Linked DNA regions of Drosophila melanogaster. The gene in region 4 interacts genetically with the main gene of each other region. Each region holds a gene or a part of one and is shown on either strand. Other genes may lie near its edges.

Region 1 (8,022 bases), 5.2 Mb from region 4:
TTGCTGAGGTTGTTGGTATTGTTGTGACTGCTGCTGAGTCTGCCAGATGCCCGTTTGTTGATGCTGCGGCGCCTGCTGTTGCTGATGGTGTTGACTGTACGTACTCCACTTGCCGCTAAGGGAGGCCTACAGGAACGATCGAGATCTTAGCCAGCTGTCATGCGTCGAGGATTTGGTCGCACACTTACCTTGCCTCCGCCAGGTGCTCCACCTTGTTGCTTGTACTGATCGTAGCCACCGCCTACAGCGGTGTTATTGCCATACTTGGGTAGCGATTGACCAGCTGACCGCTCATAGCCACCGCGACTATCTTCTTTGGTGTCGCGGTGGCCAGGCCGAAAATCCCGTTGTTGATGAGTACCACCTCCCGAGCGATAGCTACTCTGGCTGCTGCCCCGGTTCCGGTCGTTACTGCCCATTCGACTGCGGTCGTTGCCACGGTCTCGATCGCGATAGTCCCGCGAGCTGCCGTAGCCGCGGTCGTCATACCCACTTCTGCGGTTGTTCTGCATCCAGTTTTGCTGACCACCACCACCACCACCACCACCGCCGCCGCCGCCACCACCACCGCTGCCGCCTGCGTATCCACGGTTGCGATTGTCGTATCCACGACTGCCGCTTCCACCGCCACCATAGCCGCGATCATCGTACCCGCTTCTGCGGCTGTTCTGCACCCAATTTTGCTGGCCACCGCTACCGCTGTTGTAGTTGCGGCGATTGTCGTAGCCACGACTGCCGCCTCCACCACTATTGCTGGAGTAACCGCCACCGCCGCCTCCCCTGCGGGAGTCGCTCCAACGACTTTCGTGCCGCTGGCCGCCATAATCACGACGTCGGTCATCATTGTATCGATTCCGGTTCCGGTCATCACGACGATAGTTGTCGCGACTTCCTCGGGATCTCTTGTCACGCGACCTCTCCGCGTCAATGGCCTTTTTGCCCTTCTCGTTGTACTTCTTGACCTCGCTCTTGGCCTCGTCACCAGTCAGCTCCGTGTAGTTTATATCATCGAACCAGCCAAACTCCAGCGAGGGAAGTGTGAAGTTGGCTGGAAAAAGATTGCGTGTACATCATCAATAAGGCTGCACAATTGCTAAAATCGCTCATTATCATTACAGATTAGGAATTATTGTAGATGGAGTATAGAGGGAAAGAAGGGATCAACTTTGGCAACCGAACGTAAAAGGGCGCAAAAATTTCGATTTTCAAGAAATCCAGTTGTGAATAAAGTCCATCCTTTATACGTTCCAGTTGCCAAGTGGGGGTTGTTATAGAATAAATGTTAATGAATAATGGTAATAATAATAATCAAATTATGAGATATTTTGAAGGGCTTACAGTTACAATTACGTATAGATACATAAAGTGCAGCTGCTTACAAACTAAATACGTTACATAAGTTTTTATAATGTTTTTCATTTTAACAAGAATGCCTCCTTATTTAGATAGGTAGAATAATAAGTTATACGATCGTACATTATTCTGGATTTTTTTTTTCAATTCGTTGCTTTGGTGTGGTGGATAATATTTACCTCGTAAATTATTAATTGTTGATTCTTTAACTGTAAAAGCATTTCCCTTTTCCTCTTTTTCGGCGATGCGACGTTTCAATTCATCTTCGCTGGGTATGCAAACGACCGCAATTCGCTTGAAGTCGTTAAAACCCTTCATTTTACGTCGCTGGGCCGAGGCATACACATTGGTCTACAAGAATACAGTTGGTTGATCGGTTGGTTGGTTGGTGTTGTTTGGTTGAATTGGGTTCAGATTTTGTCTGCCAGTTGTTGTTTGGTTGGATTTGGTTTGGTTGTTGTTGGGACAGTCGTCGAACTTGAGAAACACGTTGATGATACGGCTCGGTTGGAGACCTCGGTCTACCGGGATCGAACCCAACTCGCATTGAGCTCGCTTGCTTTCAGCGCTTATAATCTAACACATACCTGTTGCACGGCGGGACACCCACTTCCCGCCCACACTCCGCCGGCAAGGGAGCGGGGCCTTACGGAAGCGGTGCGCGCACACCAACATAATACCTAGGGGGCGGCGACGGGTTAATGTTAACCCGGCCACATCTAACAACAGTTGACTTAATACTTTGCATAAGGATAACAGAATGTACTATGGGGGAAAAGTAGTCGCGGTTGGCTGTGCTGCTGGCTGTAGGATGAAGCATCGCATAGCTTTCTGTAGATACACATACATATATATGAGAATAGTTGGCATTTAGAGAGAGAGATAGAGTAGAGATAGTAGGTACTAATACGTATATGTGATTAGATTGTAGGCGAACGACTCGTCGATCGGATTTGTGTTTGTCTACTTACAGTGGCATCCATGCCGCTCGCTCCTCCTCCTCCTCCTTCTTCCATACTTTACTTCACTCCATTCCATTACACTCACTCATCTTTCTCCAATGCCATTTCCATATCCATATCCACTTCCATCCCCACTTTTCTTACAATTCCCTCTTAACTGCCCCGTCAACTGTTGCGCCTGCACGTAAAACTTAAGCTAATGGGAAGTCCACAGATACTTACTGCCTCAAACTTAAGCACTCTAATTATCGGATCGACTTACAATTAGGACATACCTGCACGTTGGTGCCCCTTCTAGGGGCACTTGGGCACTCTATTAAGTTAGAGCGATGAGCAAAAAAAAAATGCATACTCAAATGTACAATTAAAAAATATATAGCGCAACATTGCTGTGCCCCGCTGGTGGAACCCCTCAATCCCGAGGGGATCAGAGCCCCAGTGTGTTGGGTGGGCGCCAAAGTCATCATCAACGTATAATTCTCGCTTGTTTCGTTTTGTGTTTGGTTATCGTTCGTTCATAGTGTAATCTTGTGTGTTTGTGGGCTGGTGTTTTGTTTCGGGTGTATGTAGGTCATTTGTTAATGGTTTACCTGATCAAGTATGAAATTTCGACGCCGCTTCATGGCAATATCTTCCAGAGCCGCCAAGCTATTTAAGCATATCTCGTACACCTTGTCCCATCGACCTTTGTGCACAGTCTTGCGAGAGGCGCCATCGATCTGCAAATATATTGGTCAGTACTGAATATCTTCAGCGCCTAGCTATGTACATTTATTAACCAACTTACTGTCATCTTTGAAATGAATGCGTCGGGTCCAATCAACTCGTAACGCTTGTCAGCATTCTCGGCCACATGCTTATGGGCCCAATGGGTCTTTCCGGCTCCTGGCAAGCCAACCAGTAAAATGACTTCGCACTCCTTGCGAGATCCGACGCGTTGTGGACCGGAAACCAGCTTTTCGACAGGTACTAAGCCGATCAATACATAGCCTTCCAGCAGGGCAGCTGTATCCCTTGGCTCGGGCACGACATCCTCGTACTCATCTTCGGTCGTCTGCGACCTGTCCTTTTCCTTTTCGGATTCAGCCTTTTCCGAATCTCCATCGGTTTTGGGTCGCTTGTTCGGCGAGGGGCCATCCTCATCTTCTTCATCATTGTTTTCGGAGGGTTTCTTATCCTCAGATGCCTTTTCATCGTTTGCCTGTTCTGCAGCAGCATCACCATTTGACACAGCTGCAGTTTCTGACGACTTTTCGGTAGAAGTTTCAGCTAAAAGGAAAACCCAAAATATTAGCATTTTGTGGGATAACTGATTTTCAATCAATCATTACTCACCAGTTTCCGAAGCCTCGGTAGCTTCTGATTCGGGCTTAGCAGCTTCAGCAGGAGCCTCGACTTTAGTTTCGGCTTCTGTTTCCGTTTTTGGCGCCGCCTCATCCTCTTTGGCTTTTTCAGGATCTTCGGCTTCCTCTTCATCTTTCTCCGAAGAAGCCTTGCCATCTTCATCCTTTTTCTCCACCTCATCATCATCCGCCGTGGCTTCGTCCAAGACCTTCCACTTCTCGCCATCGTTGTCATCCTTATCGTCGTCCTTATCCTTGTCTTCGTCTTTACGTGGCTTGCGGCGCTTGCGCGTGGGCCTCTCGGCATTCACCAACAGCTGCTCGGTGTCAGAGAAATTCACTAAGTATTCGTAGCCCTTGGTAACGATGTGCGGAAACAGGGCTCCCTCCTCGCCCAGTATGCTCTTCTCAAACTCGAACGCAACTCCAAGATCCTCGCCGTTCAGAGTGTAGTTAATTGTGCACGGCTCACTTTCCAGATCTAAATAGCAGCCGATAACGTCATCCAGCTGGTAAGGCTTGCCGTAATCGGTAAACTCGCTCTGAGTAGCCTTACGCCCGGTCTCGCAATAGCCAAATGAATGCTCGGCCTCGCCTAGCAACAAGGAGCTCTTGGGCATTGAAAATCCCACGCGGAATCCTCGCACATGCGGCTCATCGCGGAAGTAGTGCGAGTTCTCCGGCACCGACTCCTCGGAAAGGCGCACCTCAAAGCACACTTTGCCTTCGCGCACTCCGTAGTTTGCGCGGGCTCCGGACCAAATAAGCGAGTAAATTTCCGATGTCAGGGGTTTGGCCGATGCAAACGTGGTTGGGTCGATGCGTAAATGCAAGTCAGAGTCCACTGGAATATAAAAACAAAGGGATATTAGTTACTGTGAATGATGGATCAAGCTTTGAACGTTAAGGAATGTGTGTATCGAATTCGTTGCAAACAGCAAGTCTACTTACGCCAGCTCAATCCGACTTTGTTCTCCTCGATGGTTGGCTCGTCCTCAGGAACTGTGCGTTCCTCGGCCGCTGCCTTTGACTCACGCTTGTCACCTACGCTGCCGCGATGTTTGGACGAGCGGGAGCCACTGCGCGATCGGGATTTGGACCGACTGTGTGATCGCTTGCGGCGTTCCGGGGGCTGATCCTCAGGCTTAGCTGCTGGCTCGGTCTCCTCCGCCGTTTTCGGGGCGGCCGAATCCTCCTCATCAACGTCCATTTTCTGGCTGTCGCCATTTGACTGATGCTCGGCCACAGTGCTCTCGGCTGGTTTCTCCTCTACAGGCTCCTCAGTTTGTGTAGGTTCCTGCTCCTCAGGGGCAGCATCATGATCCTCTTCCATGGGTTCATCAGCCACTTCATTCTGTGGTACGACGGCGGGTACTGCCTCTTCGATTGTCTCCTGCTTGTCGTCTGTCTCCGACTTTTCATCAAACTCTTCGGGCTCAGGCTGCGACTCCTCATTGACCGCTTGGTTGACGGTTGTGTCCTCTGTCACTGCTGCAGCTGGCTCAGCTTCCTCCGGCTCACTTTGTTCTGGTTCCGGCTCGGCTGCTGGCTGTTCACTTTCTGGTTCTGGCTGTGGCACTGTCTTATCCTCCGGCTGCTCCTCCTCTTCGAGAGTATCGAGCACTGGTTCTGCGGCCACGGGAGCAGCTTGCACCGGCGATGGAGAGCGGGACATAGAGCGCGTGCGACGCTGACGGCGGCTTGGTGTGACCGGCGCATTTTCTGGACGCGGGAAAAGTGAAATGTGATTACTTTATCATTATATAAGGAAAACTTACAACTAACTCACGCTCAGTCGCACACAAACAGAAACCGAAACACAAGCATGACTTGGACGCGGCAAAGCACACGCACACAGTGACACCCACACACATACACACTGGAACAATCGGGCGGTCAAATGACGCATACACACAAACTTACCACCGTCGCCGGCTCCTCCTTCCACATATGCCCTCAGGCGCTCGACGAGCACCGCTTTGACTCCTTTGGTGTCCAGGCCGCGCGACTGGAGCTCGTTGCGCAGGTCCACCACCTTCATCTTCTCCAGCTTCGCCACATCCATTCTTGCGCTTCAATTTGGATTGGCGGCAGAAACACACACGCTTATTCACTCAATGTGCACCGCTGAAAAGCTGGCGATGTGAAAAACTGAATTGGGGGAATTTCGGGCCAAATCACGCTGTCTGGCAAATGACACCCACACTGGAAATGTCACCGTAGTCAAGTCGCAATGGTTGCTAGCACCGTGCGCGCACAATTAAAACGCAATATTCGTTTTTACATTCGCATTTGTTGCGAATAAATAAATGGACCTAAATATTATACCGAACGCGTTGAAGTGAAGTTGGCTGCGATTGGGAAAACGAAAACGTAGAGCTACCGTGCTTGGGTTCGATACTTGTGCTTGGTGGCTATCGATAACAGGCTGAACATCACTAGCGATAGAAGGCGCTTGTGTGCATCAACCGTTTGCATGTGCGCTGCAAGAAAATATTTAATGATTGAATGATTTGTAGTAAATACTATATCAATAAAAATTAATAGGCAAAGTCAATGTTTATTTCAAAACATAATTAATAGTATTAAAACCTGCATAACAAAGTGTTTTTCGTAAATTGACTTTAGGTATAATGGCTGTTTGGCACAGGCATTAACAACGACTCCGTGGCGCAACGGTAGCGCGTCCGACTCCAGATCGGAAGGTTGCGTGTTCAAATCACGTCGGGGTCAAGCAATTGATGTTTTTTTTTCATTATTTTTAGTTTGCAAACTATATAAAATAAATACGAATTTAAGATTTCAAAAAAAAAAAACAGTATACAAAATTTGCATCGGCCGGGAATCGAACCCGGGCCGCCCGCGTGGCAGGCGAGCATTCTACCACTGAACCACCGATGCTTAAATACTAGATGTCTTACCTTCAATATAAGCTTGGATTGCAAATCCATTGGGTCATTTCTATAAATTGCTAAAATAGTTTAAGGTTGATTAATAAAATGTAATGCTGAAATAAAACTAACTTAATACGCAGCGTTGCTAATATACTTATTACGAAAAACTGCATGTTTTTTATATTATACCATTTTCCTAACTTGTTATAACATCCTAACTTCCTAACTTTTGTAACATCGATTGTGGCCATGCCCCTTCAGCAGAACAAGTGCTCATTAACACTCACTTATAATTAAATTTGAAATATATTTTATCGACATGCCATACTCATGTCGCTATAAAATCTATAAGTTAAAGATGCACAATCCAAAATTTCGCAATTGGAGCGTTTAAATTCAGGAATATGTCTTTTTGGTGGATGATACAAAGCCTTTTGATCCTGTGGACAGTGTCAGTGGTAAGAATAAATAAAATAATCAATAAAGAAATTTGTGGCAATAATATATTTATTTTTAATTTTTAGGGATCAAAAAAAAGCAACTATGAAGTCCGCTTTGAGTCGATAGATGCCGTAAAAGGAAGTACCGAAACCCTTTTTCTATACCAGCTACGATTGCTCGGTAGAAACCGCATGATAAATGGAACTCTTATTTTCTTAGAAGACTTGGACGAAACGTTCGACGTCCTTTTCGAATCCCACGCATTTAAAAATGGATATTGGGTCAAGGGAATCGTGAACGCCGCCGCCAGCAAACCCTGCGAATTTTTCAATCGCTACTACATTTCCTTTTTCCTAGTAAAATCGACCGAATCGAATTTACCCACTACCGGTGCTGAAATGTGTCCTTTTCGAAAGGGTACATATTTTGTGAAAAACGGCGTTGTTTCTACCGAAGATTGGCCACCCATTGTCTTTAAAGGTCTTAACAGATTCACCATTTCGTATCTAAAAAATGGCGAATGTGTTGGTGGAGTTCAGTTAACAATTAGTATAGCAGAAATCATCACATAGTCTTAAAAATTTATAATACCACGAAAAAATATATGGCATAAATGAAAACTCAATTATTTCTCTGTGTGTGTGTGTATGTATAGCCAAGCCATTTTTATATATTTTTCTTCTTACATTTTTGATTACAGTTTATAGTTACAGCTAAAATGATTGCATTCGAAATTGTTTCGTTTCGTTTACACGGAATATGCGCATATATATTTAGCTAAGAATCTCTTTTAAATAGTAATAGGTTCTTTAATGGGGTTCACATAAATATTTACATGCACATTTGCACATAGAATTGTAATAATTATTTATCGTTATATATCGCTTTTACGTTCCCAGTTCAGATCCATTTCTAAGGCTCGTCCCAAGCAACCGTCTCCAGCGTCGGAACTCAATCTTGTATCTAATTGAAGAGAGATTATGTATGTCGCATTCATCAATTGCTATTGCTAATCGGCCGATAATTACA
Region 2 (4,787 bases), on a different chromosome or scaffold from region 4:
TATTTTCGTTGAAAATTATGTAACAGACAGAAGGAAACGTTTCCGACTATATAAAGTATATATATTCTTGATCAGGATCAAGATCCAAGTCGATCTAGCCCAGTCCGTCTGTTCGTATGAACGTCGAGACCTTAGGAACCATTAAAGCTAGAAGGTTGAGATGAAGCATACAGATTCTAGAGACCACCCTAACGCCCACAAAACCCCCCAAAACTGCAACGAGCAGAGCTTTTAAACAACTTTTGGATATTTTTTCATAATTTTATTAGTCTTGTAAAGTTCTATCGATTCGCCAAAAACTTTTTGACACGCCCACTCTAAAGATCTAAAACCACCTAGAACTACCACGACCACATTTTTAAAAAAATTGTTGGATATTATTTCATAATTTTGTTGGTCGTGTAAATTTTTATACATTTTTTTTGGCAAAAAATTGGTTGCACGTCGATAGACATTGCCAAGACAAATAAAAATGTAAAATGATATCAACAAATTTTTAAAAGATTGGGCGTGGCAGTTTTGTGCGGCTTGTGGGCTTTAGAGTGGGCGTGGCAGCATGGGTCAACAAACTTCCGCTGTGTCTTCGTTTCTAGAATCTGTATGCTTCATCTCAACCTTCTAGCTTTAATAGTTTCTGAGATCGAGACTCTCACGCGGACAATAAGACGGACAGTCGGACATGGCCAGTTCGACTCGGCTATTGATCCTGATCAAGAATATATATACTTTATATGTTCGGAAACGCTTCCTTCTGCCTGTTACATACTTTTCAACGAATCTAGTATACCCTCTTACTCTACGAGTAACGTTATAAAAACCTTTCGCAGCTAGCATGTTAAAATGAGGAAGGGGGTGTATTATGCTCTTACAGATTATTTGATAAAATGCTAAGTCTAAAAATAAATACAACATCCTCGTAGCCGTAGATTATTTGATAAAATGCTAAGTCTAAAAATAAATAAAAAATCCTCGTAGCCGTATGTAAGACGAGACAAAAATAAATAAAACATCCTCGTAGCCGTATGTAAGACGAGACAAAAATTAATTGCAAATTTTTTAGGCGAAATCGGGCAATAAAAGGGAGCAAGCAAATCCAATCGATAAAAGAATAAAAAAAAACGCTTTAGAACTGATATGCCAATGTTCCGTTTGCCTTAGCTCTATGAAATCTGACTGTCCTACGGTAATCGATTTTCTCTTGTGCCGACATATCAAGCACCGCAAAGGGGACCGTGGGGCATAACCTTAGTATCGAGAACACGACACAGCTTTTTATAAAATAATATCAAGCCGAAGAGCTAAAATAAATTTTGTATAGCCTAAAGCCTTACGATTAATATCATTCTTAAAAAAATTAAAGAACTCAACTTTCTAGCCGTTTTTTATTTTATATTTAGCCAAAAATGGTTAAAACCATATAATTTACAGCCGCTTGTTGATTATTTAATGAGTATTTATTATAACGTCAACTGAAAGGGACTTATTGTGCGATTTAATATATCCTCCTGCTGATAATAAGTAAATATACTGTGGACAGACCGTTGGACAAAATCTACTGGACGTTAGTATTAATAGAGCTATAATACCAATCAACTTATCGAAGTATCGACGAACCGATATCTTGTTCCCGGATTGCGTGAAAATACTGAGGACAGACCGTTCGACAAAAAACCTGTCATTTAGTATTAATCGAGCTATCGATATCTTATATATACTAAAAGATATCATTCAGTATTTTAACAAACGATCCACTGTCGGTATTTCAAGACAAGCCAAGTACGTTCATATTTCGTTTTTTCGTCAGGGTGGGTGTGCGCAAAAATTGGTCGGCAAGCAATTCAAAAGTAAGAGCAACCGGAGCGAACAAAAAAGGGAATAACTTACTAAAATCTCTGAAAGAAAAATAAAAAGACTAACGGGCTCGGCAAGCTGTGTTTATTTCGACAAGTAATTATATACTTGGAGTGCAAGCAAAGGCGAAGGAAGTGGAAGGACAAGCAACGAAATCGTGCTCTTATCCGTTCCTGTACTGTGTCTCTCTTTCGCTGGGAGAGTGTGTGTATTGGTGTGAGTGTAGAAATCTGCAAGAACAGCAACGCCAATAAAAGTGGAATCGAGAAAAAAAACGCAGTGGCGCGTGAATCACGAGCAATCTGAATCATCTCTCTACAAAAATACCTGTTTCTGTTGGCGCATCATTTATACCAATTAAATCCTAAAGGATGGAACACCACGAGGACAACGCGCAGTTGGACAACTACTTGCAGAACCGCCTGGCCGAAAGTCTGCAAATTTGCGGAGGCGCCGGCGAGCATAATCCTCATCTGGCAGACGCTACTGGGGGGAACGGCTGCGCTCCTGGCATTGCGCCCTCAAAGTCGGACGAAGTCGACGGGGAAGAAGACGAGGAGTGGAAGTACATACACGAGGTGCGGCAGAGTGAAAAGCTTCAACAGGAAAAGCTTCCACTGACAAAGGAAACCGGCAATGGCTTCGGGCCCGGACGGGACTCAGATAATCAAGTTCACGGAAACGGAGCTGCCGCTGTCTTCAATCTGTACGAAGAGGACGTGGAAGTGATCAAGAACGATGGTGACTTCTCGACAAATTCTAACACCACTACTTCAACGGACGAGGTAGTTGCCAGGCAGGCCCAGGAGCCAAACCAGTTGCCGGAGCAGCTTCAACAGCAGCAGCAGATAGAATCACAAGGTGTTCACGAGGATCCCCGTCAGGAAGATGAGGATGAGCACAGCTCCGTGGCCACTACTTATGGAACAAGCAGTCTCAGTGAGAACAACTCCTCGCCTTTAGATCAGGAGGAGGTCGTTATGGTGGCCCAAACGGTTGGTCAAGAGCAGTTAGTGGACTTCGACAACAAGGAAAACTCCTATTTTGTTAAAAACCTGGAAGAAAACCACTCGCAGCTAAACCCCAATGCTGTGGCCTTTGTGCCTGGCGTTGGCTCACAATCATCCTCTCCCCTTCCTGCTGCTGAAGATCCACTACCTGGTGTTCAGCCCCGCCCATTTCTACCGGGAGGGACCCTTGACGATTTGGTGGCGGAAAGTCCGCGGAAAGAATTCGCCCGAATCAACATGGATGGTATTGCCGTGCCCGACGAGCGGGAATTTGACATTGAAGCGGATATGCGACCCCACGAGTTGGAGCAGGAATCGGACACTTTTGGGGCAGGACACCTGGAGATGCAGTTGTTGAACGGTATAGGAACCGCTGACCAAGCAGCCTTAAGGGATGTTCTGGATCACGGTCCAGAGACAAGTGTCGATATGGAGTTGCCACTAGATCAGGTGCCCAACGACGCCGACATCATGAAACAATCGATTTATGCCGAGCACAACTCCTCCATTGAAGATATCTTAAATTCCGTGCAACCTTTGCCAATTCAGACTTGTGACGATAAGGAACTAATTCATGTGGAAGAGAAAGAACATGTCTCGAAGTCGCCTTCTACAGAGGAGCTCCAGTTTCAGTCCGACTTCCCAAACAATCAGGAATCGCACACATTATTCAATAACACTGAGCAGGATCCAATGCAGGCTTCATTTTATTTGGAACATACCTCTCAAAAGGCTCAAGAGGGCTGCCAGGAGCAAATGCAGCTTCCCGCTGAGTGCTCTGATATTTTTGCCGACCAGAGTTTATTGCTAGACACCAGTGCACCCCAGTTGAGCTCCGAAGCAGACTCGCCTGTGGCGAAATTGGAGCTGGAATCCCAGCAAGCTGGCATTGTAGACATCACACCTTCGCCCCTTTCTTCCACTGCAGAGAAACATCTGGTTGAAGACACCAAGGAGCTAGTTGAGGAGTACACGTTGGATCCGGAATCCCATTTCTTTGGGGTTGTTTCATCTCAAGCTCCTCTACAGGTAAGCTAAAAATCATGAGCAAATTTGCAAGATCTATTATTATACACACTTCATTTGAAATCACAAGTTTCTAAGATAAATTATTAACTTTGTTGTTATACTCTTTTGTGTTTGAACATCGCATGTGCATGATACGCTACAGCGCCTGTGGACTTCATTCATTCCCAAACTCTCCTTATAACTCTCTTTCTTTTGGGGCTTACTTTTTTTAAAATCAATCATTTATTCGATTACAAATGAGTAGTATTTAGATTCAAAGTTTTAACTTTTAATGCGCAGCCTAGTTTATAACTTCATAACTACTTTTGTTTGTTTTGCATACTTAGTAATGTTCTTTCTGATGATTGCTGCATAGTATTAATTAAATTCTGTTTTAATGATTATTGAGGTGTGCTCTTTTTAAATTTTATTTTGTCCTGGGGTGCGTCATTTGGCTCGCTCTCGCGGCACTGTCGACATTGCTGTTTCCTACGCTCTCCCTTTGTTTTTTGCATTTGGGTGGGGTTGCTTTTTGTTGTTGGACGTGTGTTACTCAATTTTTACACCCAACAGGACATGCAAGTGTTTCCATTGAATGGAATATGGTGTTGGGTTTTGAGTAAGACAGAGTTTTGTATTTATTTGGTGTTATGTCTTTTTTTATTTCTAAAGTTAAAGGTTTGTCCTTATATTAGTCTAAAAAACTTAGATTGTTGCAGTGGCAATGTACAGTACAAAGTTATATTGGGAATGTTTGCAATCCTAAGTAATATAGGTAAAAGGGTTTTTTTCCTTCCTTATACTAATGTACAGGTGTTATTAAAAGCCTTAAGTTAAAGGTTATTTCCTGTGTCCCATAAATATATATTAAAACGTAAACTAATAAACTGTTACCCGAAATTCCTATTTTTATGTTTG
Region 3 (4,592 bases), on a different chromosome or scaffold from region 4:
AATGCCACGGCGAGCAACCCCTGGACTATAGCCAGCCGCCACCATCCTAAAGATACTCATAGTTTCTGCAGTCTACAGTCAGTCTGGCTTCGGTTGACAGAAACAGGGGCGGAGTTGCCAATTTGCCATTGGGGAGATCTTGTAATTCTAGACCAGACTGCTGCCGGCGGCGACGTATTGTCTGGCAGACGGACGCGAGTGACGAACAAATGTGGCAAAACGATTTATTTGGCTTTATCAGCAATTTTTGATTCTCCTTTGTCTCCCATTGAAAAAGCGCCGCATTAAGTGCTCCGCCTGCGTTTGCGGCGATTTGTCATATCGCTGATTTACTAACCTTACACCAGGCATTATCTCTTGGCAAAGGAGGCCGAATCCGAATCCGAGTCCGGAATGGCGGGGGAGAGGTGGAATCCGGGGCGAATCACCCCTGCTAGCAGCTAGAGGGTGACTTTTTCTGTTTTTTTTTTTTTTTTTTTTATACAACCGAGGGTGTAACTAACCGACACAAGTGCAAGAAGGCAGGATATGCCAGGATATGCATGTGTGTATGTATGGCTGGCTGTGTATGTTTGCGCATATCGCCGGCATCAACATCAAATTTATTGAGGTAGTTGCCAAGCGGCTCTGGCAAACAAAACGAGCATGCAAAAAGGAATGTTCTTTAACATGCAAACGTTTCTTTGTTTTTCCCCCATTTTAGCCGTGCTTCTATTTTTTCTGTACGAGTATATGCATGGGACAGAGTTGCCACCGCTGGGGCAAACAAGCGGCGACTACCCTGTTGCCATAACAAACATGCATAAAAAATGATGACTCGGGCTGGAAAAAAAAAGCACACACACAGTCCGGCAAGTGTTGCAAATTGAAAGCGGTTTTAGGCCAGGAGCCGTCACCTGAATAGCTTTGAGTTCGGGAGACCCAAGAATAAAGACTTAAATTGGCTGTGGTATGTGGCCAGTCATCCTGTTTTTTTTTTTGTTCAGTATGCACTTCCATATGCCATAGAAGCATTAGCATGGCAACTCAGCGTATAAGGAATACCATTTTATCGATATTTCACTGCAATCCTAATGGAATTTCCTGCATTGTTGTCTACTCCTTTCGACTGGCTCAATATCCATTGCCCATGTGTTTATTATTCATTTACTCGCTGTGCGCCGATAAAGCGCTTTTCCTGATTTTCCCGCCTTTCTCGCATCGCCAGCGCAACTTCATGACGCTCCCCCGGTGTTTGCCCTTTTGTGGGCTTCCCTGCGGTTGTCGCCAACACTTTTCACTTACAGCTCGCTGCGTTTTCGCGCCCAACAATCTAGATATACATACATGCATATAAATACATAGTATTTATGTGTTGGAGGGGCCTAGATAATGGGATATGTTTTTGTTGTTACTGGTTGACTGGTTCCGCTTATTGTTATAGTTGTCATAGCGCACATGGCATTCTGATGGCCCCACTGCAGTTGTCATAAATTTGTGGTCTTAATACTTGCACCACACCATTTTCAGGATTGCCACCTCAACAAAGTGGGTTCGGTTCGGTAACCCTTTCTAAATATCGATGCGTAGTTGGCCCTGCTGGGCGATTGTCAAAAGTTATTCCGTAATGTTTTTTGTTTCTATTCAGTTGTGAAAATTTTTCTCGTCTCTCGAATCGTTTCGGAACTATTGATTTTTACTTCAAAAATAAGAAAAAGCGAAAACAAATTCATTCACATTTGCAATCGAAATTCCAAGTCGCCTAAGGAAATTGAAAATTGTTAAATTGTTGCATTACGCGATGCTTTCCCAGATGGAAGCCTCCAAAGTGCAGAAGGATGAAGGGGGCGGCGAGGCTCTGAGCCGCACGATCCTCAAAACACCGTCTTCATTCAGGACCCCCAGCCCAATTCCCAGTTGCAGCAGTGAGTATTCCACGCCGCTGCAAAACACCCAATTGCCCCCGATATCAATCGCAAAGTATTTCAATGTCAGCGAAAACGAATCGAATGCCGGAGAATTAATGCGAAATTCGCAGAATGCCAGTGGAGAGAGCAGCAACAAACAGAAAAGATTTTAGAAATGTTCGGGTTTGCCCATAATTTTTGTGGGTCGCGCTCTATCGCTGGTTTGGCTCTCCCATTCTTGAACGATAGAGCTAGCTGATATTGCTGCTGTTTTTTTTTGTTTTTGTTTTTTTTTTTTTGCACATGTTACGCAATTATCGCTCTCGGCTAGTTGGGGTCCCTCGTTTTTATTTTTGCAGCTTGCTTCGTTTTTGTTTGAACGTCAAACACACACAACTTTCTATATGTATGTATGTACATACACATCGTACATATATATAATATACATACGAATATACGTGTACACGCGAATCAAAATAGCATTTGCTGATAGTGTGGCTGCTAAGGTAGCTTTCTATGCTGCGGCCTGTATAGGTGAGCGTTTGCCACTTGACAACTGTGGAACATTTGCATTTTCATTATGAGTGTGCCATAAATATTCATTTATGATAAATGCCTGTGTGCAGCTGCGGCTGCAATTGCAACGAAAGCGAACAGCTCTTGTTTCCGCAGCTCAACTGAATTTAGCCACGGAACAGATCATAAATAAATGTATTAGGCTGATTTAACATAGCAAATCACGTATACTACTACTTTTAGTCAATAAAACTACTAATACTAATCCAAGTCTAAAGTCCAGTAGCTTCAAACACGGCAAAAAGTGAACCCACTAGATTCATCAGCTGTTACCAGGGCAACTAATACGTCACGCTCTTGTGAGCGTGGCCGAACACATCGCGTATACGCAACACGTCACGCACAATTCGCAAATCGCGCCTCTTTTCGTTTGTTTACATTTTGGCCAATACGTTTTCATGCGGCTCCCTCTTTCTCTTCTCGTTTGCCTTTCTCCTTCTCTTGCCTTTCTCACGCACTTTTCGGTGCTCGGATGCGCGCTCTTCTGGATCGCAAATTTGTGCGTTTCGCATTTGTTTGGAGTCAATGAACTTTGTTGCTCGCTTTGTTGTCTCCTCTCTCTCCCATGCTCCCTGCTTTATCGCACTCCCCGTTTATCTCATTCCGCGAGTGCGTGCGACGGTGCGTAAGTTGCCAATTTTTCGTATTTCTCGTATTTCGCACATTCTCGCGACCCATTTTTTACCAAGCGCTCGCCGTTTGTGGCTATTTTGCGTTCGTTGAACTCTACAAGGTGATTTTATAGGTCGCACAATTTGTGGGTGCTCACTTGAATGTATGTTTCAAGAATATTAATATTTATGTATAAATACTCAATATATATTTATAACATTTTATTATCGTTGCACTTGCAGAAATGGCGGAAGGTAATGGCGAACTGTTGGATGACATTAACCAGAAAGCCGATGACCGTGGCGATGGCGAGCGTACAGAGGATTATCCCAAGCTGCTGGAATACGGTCTGGACAAGAAGGTGAGTGCTTTGAGAACCCAACACCACATGCCAACTATTACCAACATTTGCCACATGCAACATATGCTCCTAGGTCGCCGGCAAACTGGATGAGATCTACAAAACCGGCAAGTTGGCTCACGCCGAGCTGGACGAGCGCGCCCTGGACGCGCTCAAGGAGTTTCCCGTCGATGGTGCCTTGAATGTGTTGGGACAGTTCCTGGAATCGAACCTGGAGCACGTGTCAAACAAGTCCGCCTACCTATGCGGCGTGATGAAGACGTACCGACAGAAGAGTCGAGCCAGCCAACAGGGCGTGGCCGCGCCCGCAACTGTCAAAGGTCCCGACGAGGACAAGATCAAGAAAATCCTCGAGCGCACCGGCTACACATTAGATGTGACGACAGGTGAGAAACATTTTCAAGTACTGGAGAAACTTTTATCTAATACTATTACTTATACCGTACTCAGGTCAGCGTAAATACGGCGGACCGCCGCCGCATTGGGAGGGAAATGTGCCAGGCAACGGTTGCGAGGTTTTCTGCGGCAAGATACCCAAGGACATGTACGAGGACGAACTGATTCCGCTATTCGAGAACTGCGGCATAATCTGGGACCTACGACTCATGATGGACCCGATGACGGGCACAAATCGTGGTTATGCATTTGTCACATTCACAAATCGCGAAGCGGCCGTCAATGCAGTGCGACAGGTATTTAAGCCAACCACAGATCATCCATACCACCAACCACCAGTCCAGCCCAGCCCAGCCCACCTGAAAACCCAGTCTCCCCAATGAAAACCCCACCCCATCCGACCCTGACCACCAAATCAGTTTGATCCCCGCTTCAATGTTTTTACGTATTGCTAACTCTTAAGACCTATACAAATATCCTATATATATACATATTTAACGTATTGTATCCACATATTTACTATCGTGTTATAACACATCGGATGAAGTAGGAACAGTTATGCGGCCAAAGCAAAATTCAAATATTTGAAATTCTCCACAGCAAGAGCGAAAAATTACCGATTTGATCACAACCGATTTGGCGCTTTTAGATCCGACCATGAGAAATTCTGCAATTCCATTTAGTTTTTAACGTATGCTTACTTTACCTCTCTGCCTTTGCTATTAAGAATTCGAACTATGGGCAACGCTATCTGTCTCACT
Region 4 (5,974 bases):
TTGACATGGACCACCTGCGATCGCAGCCCCAAGGAGCGGGCGTTGTTGGCGAATGCTTCGTGCTCGCTGGTGCGGAATGTGCACGGGAACTGCTGGCAGCAGCGCCGTCCCGCCAAGAAGTAGAGCAGCTGTTGCGGAATGTACTTGTCCTGGATGATGTGGTTCATTTCTGCTAGCTTCAAACAGATTGACACTAAATTAAGTGAAGTGCGCCGCAATGCGCGCGGCAATTGCAAGTTCCGTTATTGCCACCGTCGTGAAAATAGAAAAATGGCGGAATGGAACACAGGGCTGTATTTTCGCTGGCGCAAAGCTTGCTCATTAAGGGTATTCCTTGCATATACTCAAACAAATGTGTAGTGGAAATTTGTAAAAAAAAAAGATCCAGGTGTCATTACAAACTGAATTATAAAACATACTTTGTTATTTTCAAAGAATAAGAGATAAGTTTCCAAGACGGGAGAGTTTCCTTTACAGGAATATATTAAAATATTCAATTCACAATCCCATAGATTCCATTCAAATGAAATGATTCACTTTGTACTAATATGCTTTTGCATTCTTTATTTTTTGAAATGAATGTACATGTTAAATGAATTCTCCTCTAAAATGAGGCTGCGCCAAATTCGTTTAGATATCTTAAAGAAAACTTTGTTATATTGGAAATTCTCCGCAGATCCAGCATTATAAGTGCACAATCTTTATAACTAAACTTTCTTAGCGTAAGCCAAAATATATTTAATAAACAACAAAATACAAATCAAATTCTACTTAAGTGATACAATGATACAATTTTTACTGAGCTTTGGCGCAGAATTTATTTTGAAGTGTGTTTTATCAATTGTGTTATTAGCCATCCAGTGTCATCTTGTTTACAATTATCAAAATATCTATTACATATTAAATACAATTCTTAACTGGTTTGTATGTGGAATACATATATGTAAATTTAAGTAAGCTACAGAGGTGTTGGTTAACCACATTAACCACATCATTGGGTGACAGGCACCGCCTTAAAGAAAGTTTGACTTCTCCGCGGCGTTTTGAGATCCGCTGCTCTGGTTCGACCAACCGGTGTTCCCATTCTGGAATAGAGTAGAATAGATTCTGGCTGGGATCCAGGTTTCTTAGGGGATGGTTTCAGTTTTGACTCTAACCTGTGGCTCCGAGTTGTCGGTCTTTATTCCGTTGGCGGCCGGATTGTTGTTCGGGTTATTCGGCCCCTTCCGTCCACCAAAGTTGTTGGCATTGTTGTGGCCCCCGTTCTGAGCCATCCAAGATAGAAAATTGCCGCCCTGCGGAGCAAGTGAGAGAGTTTTTTGTTTGAAACAATGATTGAGGTGTGAAGGCTTGCCTGTTGGTCCTGGTTTTGGTTCTGCAGCTGGTTGCCGACCAGGCTCCACTGGTTCAAGGCGGCAGCGACCAGTGCGGGATTGATGGGCAATGAGTTGAGATTGAGCATTGACTGGTTGCTCATGTTTTGGCCCTGGTTGGAGGAGCTCGATCCCTGCGAGTTGATGCCCAGGGCCTGCAGGTTGGGCATGTCCAGGTGGCCACGGTTCATCCAGCCGTTGCTGCCGCCCACGTTGCCGTTATGCGGCTGGTTCATTCCGTGAAAATTCGACTGGCGACTGTTGTACTGGCTGCCGCCGTCCTGGCGGTTCGTGTTCCCGCCACTGGAGTGATTGCCGCCATTGTTGTGGTAGCCCCCGCCCGAGTTGCCGCCGTAATTGTTGCCACCCATGCCGTAGCCGGCGGTGCCAATGTTGTGATTATTGGGCACAATTGCGTTCTCACCGCCGTGAGCATTGTGTTGGTTATTACCTCGGTGGTGTCCGTTGCGGCCCGGATTCATGTGGTTACCCTGTGGGTGGTATGAGTGCATGCCAAAGCTGTTGGCAGAGTTGTAGTTGTAGCTCTGGACCTGTTGGTTTCTGTTCTGCTCGGCCTTTGGAGCAGCATTCGACACATGGACCGAAACGCCTGTGGAAAGTGTCTCATTAATTCCCTGATTCTTCTCCACGCGGCAGTGACTCACCCTTGATAATGTGATCCTCTCCGCACAGGGACTGTGCCACGTCGGGATCAAGGAAGGTTACAAAGCTAAAGGCCCTGAAGGGCCGGGGAATGAACACATCAGTGACTTCGCCAAACTTGGAGAAATACTCGCGCAAGTCGTCCGAGTTAATGTCCTCGGTGCAGCGGCCCACGAACACCTTGCAAGGCACCTGGTGGCCCATGCCCTATGAGAATAGAAGGATTAGTAGGCGTGAAATTGCAGGGCTAACAAGAGGACTTACCTTCGAGTTGGGCACCTTAACCTCGCACCAGCGACCGTCGATCAGATGGCGATTGGTGAGCACGCGCATCTGGGCATCGTAAGAGCCGAAGCGCACGAAACCGAAGCCCTTGGACTGGCCCGACTTGGTGTCCTTCTTGATCTGGGCCATCAGCACCTCGCCGTAGGTCTCGAAGTACTCACGCAAGCTCTCCTCTGTGGTCTTCCACGGCAAGCCGAGCACGATGAGATCAGTGCAGCGCAGACGGGTCTCGATGCGTTTGGTCTTGGCAGTTGAGTTCTCCAAGTTATCGTCGCTCTTGCGCTTGTTCTCTGCAGGGGGGGATTACAGAATTATTTAAGGTTCAACAGGGAGTCATACAACTCGAATTTACCCTTGGGAAAGACGCAAAAGTAAGCGTACTCGCCCCAGCCGGACTCCACGCTGGGCGGAAACAGTCTGCCCTCGTTGGAGCGAACTCCGCGCACAGCCTTCGTGTCCAGGTTGCGGTACTTCAGACCGCAGGATCCAGGGAACTGAGCTTGCAGTGTGGACAGAAGCAGAGTGCCATCCTCCTCAGCCGGCAGCTCGATGGGCTCGTCGCCCTCCTCCTCCGACACTTGAACGAAATCCATTTCCTAGAAGGCTGCTAGAAACGAGGAGGGGATTAAAGAACTCTATCGCCGCAGGGGCTCACACTTCGCTCTAGAAATGATCCACCATGTCATTCAGTCAACGGAAGCATCCCACATATTCTGCATCGCTGCATTCATGAATGCACTCACTCAGTTCATCCGTTCTATTCAGATGCATCCCAAGGTACAATATTCAACACAAAAAGGTTGCCCCGAACCACTCTATACACACATTGCTCGTGGGACCAAGCCAAAACAAAAAGGATCCTACACTAGGTCAATCTACTAAAAACGACAAATAAACAATGTTTCTATCTCTTGTAATTTCGATGATATAATTTTAGTAAGTATTACAAACATATTCATATATTATTAGTGTTCATGTTTAGGCGTTTCTTTACGTTATTATTAGTTAAAAATTCTCTGAATCAGACGCTACTTATGTCCCACCATCGGCTAAATGCCTATTCTACGTACATTTAGTTAATAAACAAAAGAAGAATACCCAATCCCAAGTTTACGATGTATGGCATACATATGTATATGTTTTGAACTACTCAAGAAAACAGATATTTCACCCACTTAATACGAGTAAACTGACGTTTGTGAGTGTGGAATCGCGGCAGGAATTGGAAAATCAATGAATGAAAGCCACATAAATTGAAAATATCCAATCCTGTCGTCTGTGTGTGAGTGCAAGTGTGTGGCACACACACACACGCACACAAACGCAATCGTCGAGGGGAGGACATAATGTGTAGACGGAGGCAGTTTGGCGGTCCTAAAAGATGGTTGGTTACACAACAATTCTTACACTATTGACAGGGATTAGTTGGTTGCTGTAATTTCTGACTGCGTATGGCAAGTAGATATAGATTTCTGATCCCAGATCTCAGATCGCACGCTCTCTCACACGAATTCGATTCACACCCAGGCAAAATCAGGTATTCACTGTACGTTCCACGCTCGGTTCTTGACACAACACACGCTTCGATGCACAACCACTTTCAATCGGTGCGAAATAGGAATCAGGTAATATTTACAATTGACAGCTTAACAAATTTTCAAACGACGAGTGAAGCATTTCTTCTCGCTTTCCGTTTTGATTTTCTTTTCCTTTGTATGTATCGCCTGACGTATGCGCAGTGTGGCCGAACAGGGCTAGTGAGAAATACCAGCCGGCGGGTAGATATACTAAAAGTGTATTATTTTTAGTTAAAACAGTGCATTGTCACATAAATTTTAATAGCCTCTTTATTAAACTATATGAGCGTTGATTGCCACTATGAATATCTAAGCAATATATTACATTACAATATGGCAATTATATTGGCATTTGGTACTGTCGAATAAAATACCAAACCTTGCAGTGCTGCCCATCAGCTATACCAAAAAAAAACTTGGCAGCATTGCGCATCGTGTTCATTTGAAATTTCGAAACACAAAACATTATAAATAAATTCAAACGAAATTAGCTCGCCATGGAAATGCGTACGATAAAAACAGCTAGACTTTATTAATCAATAACATTTATTATTTACAGCTGAAGGAGTTTCGATTGCTCTTGCAGACCGCGCTTGAATGACAAAATGCATTAGTTGGTTTCGAAATATTAATGATTGGCTAACAATTATGATACATTATTATTTATACACAATTAAAAAAGGCATCGCTGATTTGCACTACACAAATATTATTGTATTTTCTCGTAATATTAGTAAAATCACAGTGAAATATTACTGCACGCCGTAGAGTTGAAAATGTAGTTCTGGGCCTCCAGAATGTGCATTTCAGTTAAACATATAGCAACTAACAGGATAATGTAACCGCTGTACCGGATCGCGCGCAGGAAGTCCCACAGCTTGTCGCAGAAGATGCTCAGCAGGACGCAGTGCAGCAGGGCGTGCACGTTGACGATGCGCCACATCCAGGCGACGCAGAAGAACCAGGTCGACTTGAACACGTAATCCTGGCAATGCGACTGGTTGCCGCTCACGTCCTCGCGCTCCAGCATGTTCTGGTAGACGGCAATGTAGCGATTCCACGCCGTCGAGCTCAGCAGCAGCTGGCCCGTGAAGCTGATCACGTTCTTGGCCACCTTGCGCGTGGTGGCCTTCATCTTCGGTATCATCATGGTGGGCTCCGGCAGCTTGGAGTCGCTCATGGGTATGATCGAGTAGCCCCTCCGCGGTGGATTGTTCTTCAGGTAAAAGAATATGCCCAGCAGCAGCGCAATGCAGCCGAGTCCGTCGCACAGGCCGTCCACATAGTAGCCGGAGGTGCCGATCTCCGAGCGCTCGCCGCGTATGTGCTTGCGCACGCGCGCCACATGCCCGTCCAGGTCGTCCAGGAAGGTGCGGATCTGGAAGAGCAGCACGCCCAGCCGCCGATAGCCCAGGCTGTCCGAGGCCACCAGTTTGCCCGCCAGACAGGCCACGCCCACATGGAAAAACGATATCATGTTGGGCGTGATGAAGGTGGAGCGCGAGAAGCCGATCACGTTGTCGAACATGGTGGCCAGCGGGGCGAACAGGTAGTGGTTGGTGTGGTCCAACAGAATGGCCTTCACGGTCACATGGCAAAGCGGATTTATATCACAGGATATCCAGGTGTGGTCCTCGTAGGACGGCTGCCGGTCGCCGGCGGTGGGTAGTTTCGTACTGGTGCTGCTGCTACTGCTGCTGCTGCTGCTGCTGCTACCACCGATGCTGCCGGACCCGGACTCCGAGGTGGACGGACCCACGACGGAGGCGGGCAGCGAGACATTCGTGTGATAGTTCCTCTCGATGGCATAGTTGTGGATGCGCAGGTAGAGCTCCACGTCCATGAAAACGTAGAAGATGATCAGCAGGAACAGCAGGGTGAGCAGGATCTTGCTGATCTGCGAACTGGGTCCGATCATGGTGACACTTTGAGGTAGCGCTTAACACTAAGTTCTTATCGGGCTGATTTCAGGGCGCAGCTGTGGGGCGGAAAGAAGTGAAGCTGATCAATATGGTTTATCGAAGCGAAGTAGTTGTCAAGATAAGCCGCGCACGGCATAAAAAGTTTGGCAAGCAA

The links.
Region 1: of TBPH (region 4) and CG30122, changing one enhances a phenotype caused by changing the other (phenotypic enhancement), as found in Drosophila melanogaster (one study listed by BioGRID).
Region 2: of TBPH (region 4) and Map205, changing one suppresses a phenotype caused by changing the other (phenotypic suppression), as found in Drosophila melanogaster (one study listed by BioGRID).
Region 3: of TBPH (region 4) and Syp, changing one suppresses a phenotype caused by changing the other (phenotypic suppression), as found in Drosophila melanogaster (one study listed by BioGRID).

The regions. Positions count from the first base shown.
Region 1 is NT_033778.4:18,633,238-18,641,259, forward strand, and holds the start of CG30122 (uncharacterized protein), read right to left. Parts: upstream 6,034-8,022; 5' UTR 5,724-6,033; coding exon 5,582-5,723; intron 5,381-5,581; coding exon 4,610-5,380; intron 4,503-4,609; coding exon 3,651-4,502; intron 3,585-3,650; coding exon 3,103-3,584; intron 3,035-3,102; coding exon 2,906-3,034; intron 1,705-2,905; coding exon 1,533-1,704; intron 1,049-1,532; coding exon 189-1,048; intron 127-188; coding exon 1-126. Other genes in the region: CheA56a (chemosensory protein A 56a), read left to right, coding at 6,957-7,010, 7,077-7,565.
Region 2 is NT_033777.3:32,065,432-32,070,218, reverse strand, and holds the start of Map205 (Microtubule-associated protein 205), read left to right. Parts: upstream 1-1,777; 5' UTR 1,778-2,222; coding exon 2,223-3,890; intron 3,891-4,787. UniProt on the Drosophila melanogaster protein: May play an important role in the regulation of microtubule assembly and interaction.
Region 3 is NT_033777.3:20,788,429-20,793,020, forward strand, and holds the start of Syp (syncrip), read left to right. Parts: upstream 1-1,557; 5' UTR 1,558-1,780; coding exon 1,781-1,904; intron 1,905-3,316; coding exon 3,317-3,435; intron 3,436-3,508; coding exon 3,509-3,821; intron 3,822-3,885; coding exon 3,886-4,127; intron 4,128-4,592.
Region 4 is NT_033778.4:23,858,533-23,864,506, forward strand, and holds TBPH (TAR DNA-binding protein-43 homolog), read right to left. Parts: upstream 4,062-5,974; 5' UTR 2,915-4,061; coding exon 2,674-2,914; intron 2,612-2,673; coding exon 2,301-2,611; intron 2,244-2,300; coding exon 2,039-2,243; intron 1,984-2,038; coding exon 1,355-1,983; intron 1,296-1,354; coding exon 1,158-1,295; intron 1,086-1,157; coding exon 1,014-1,085; 3' UTR 535-1,013; downstream 1-534. Other genes in the region: bgcn (benign gonial cell neoplasm), read right to left, coding at 1-167; Cpes (ceramide phosphoethanolamine synthase), read right to left, coding at 4,638-5,816.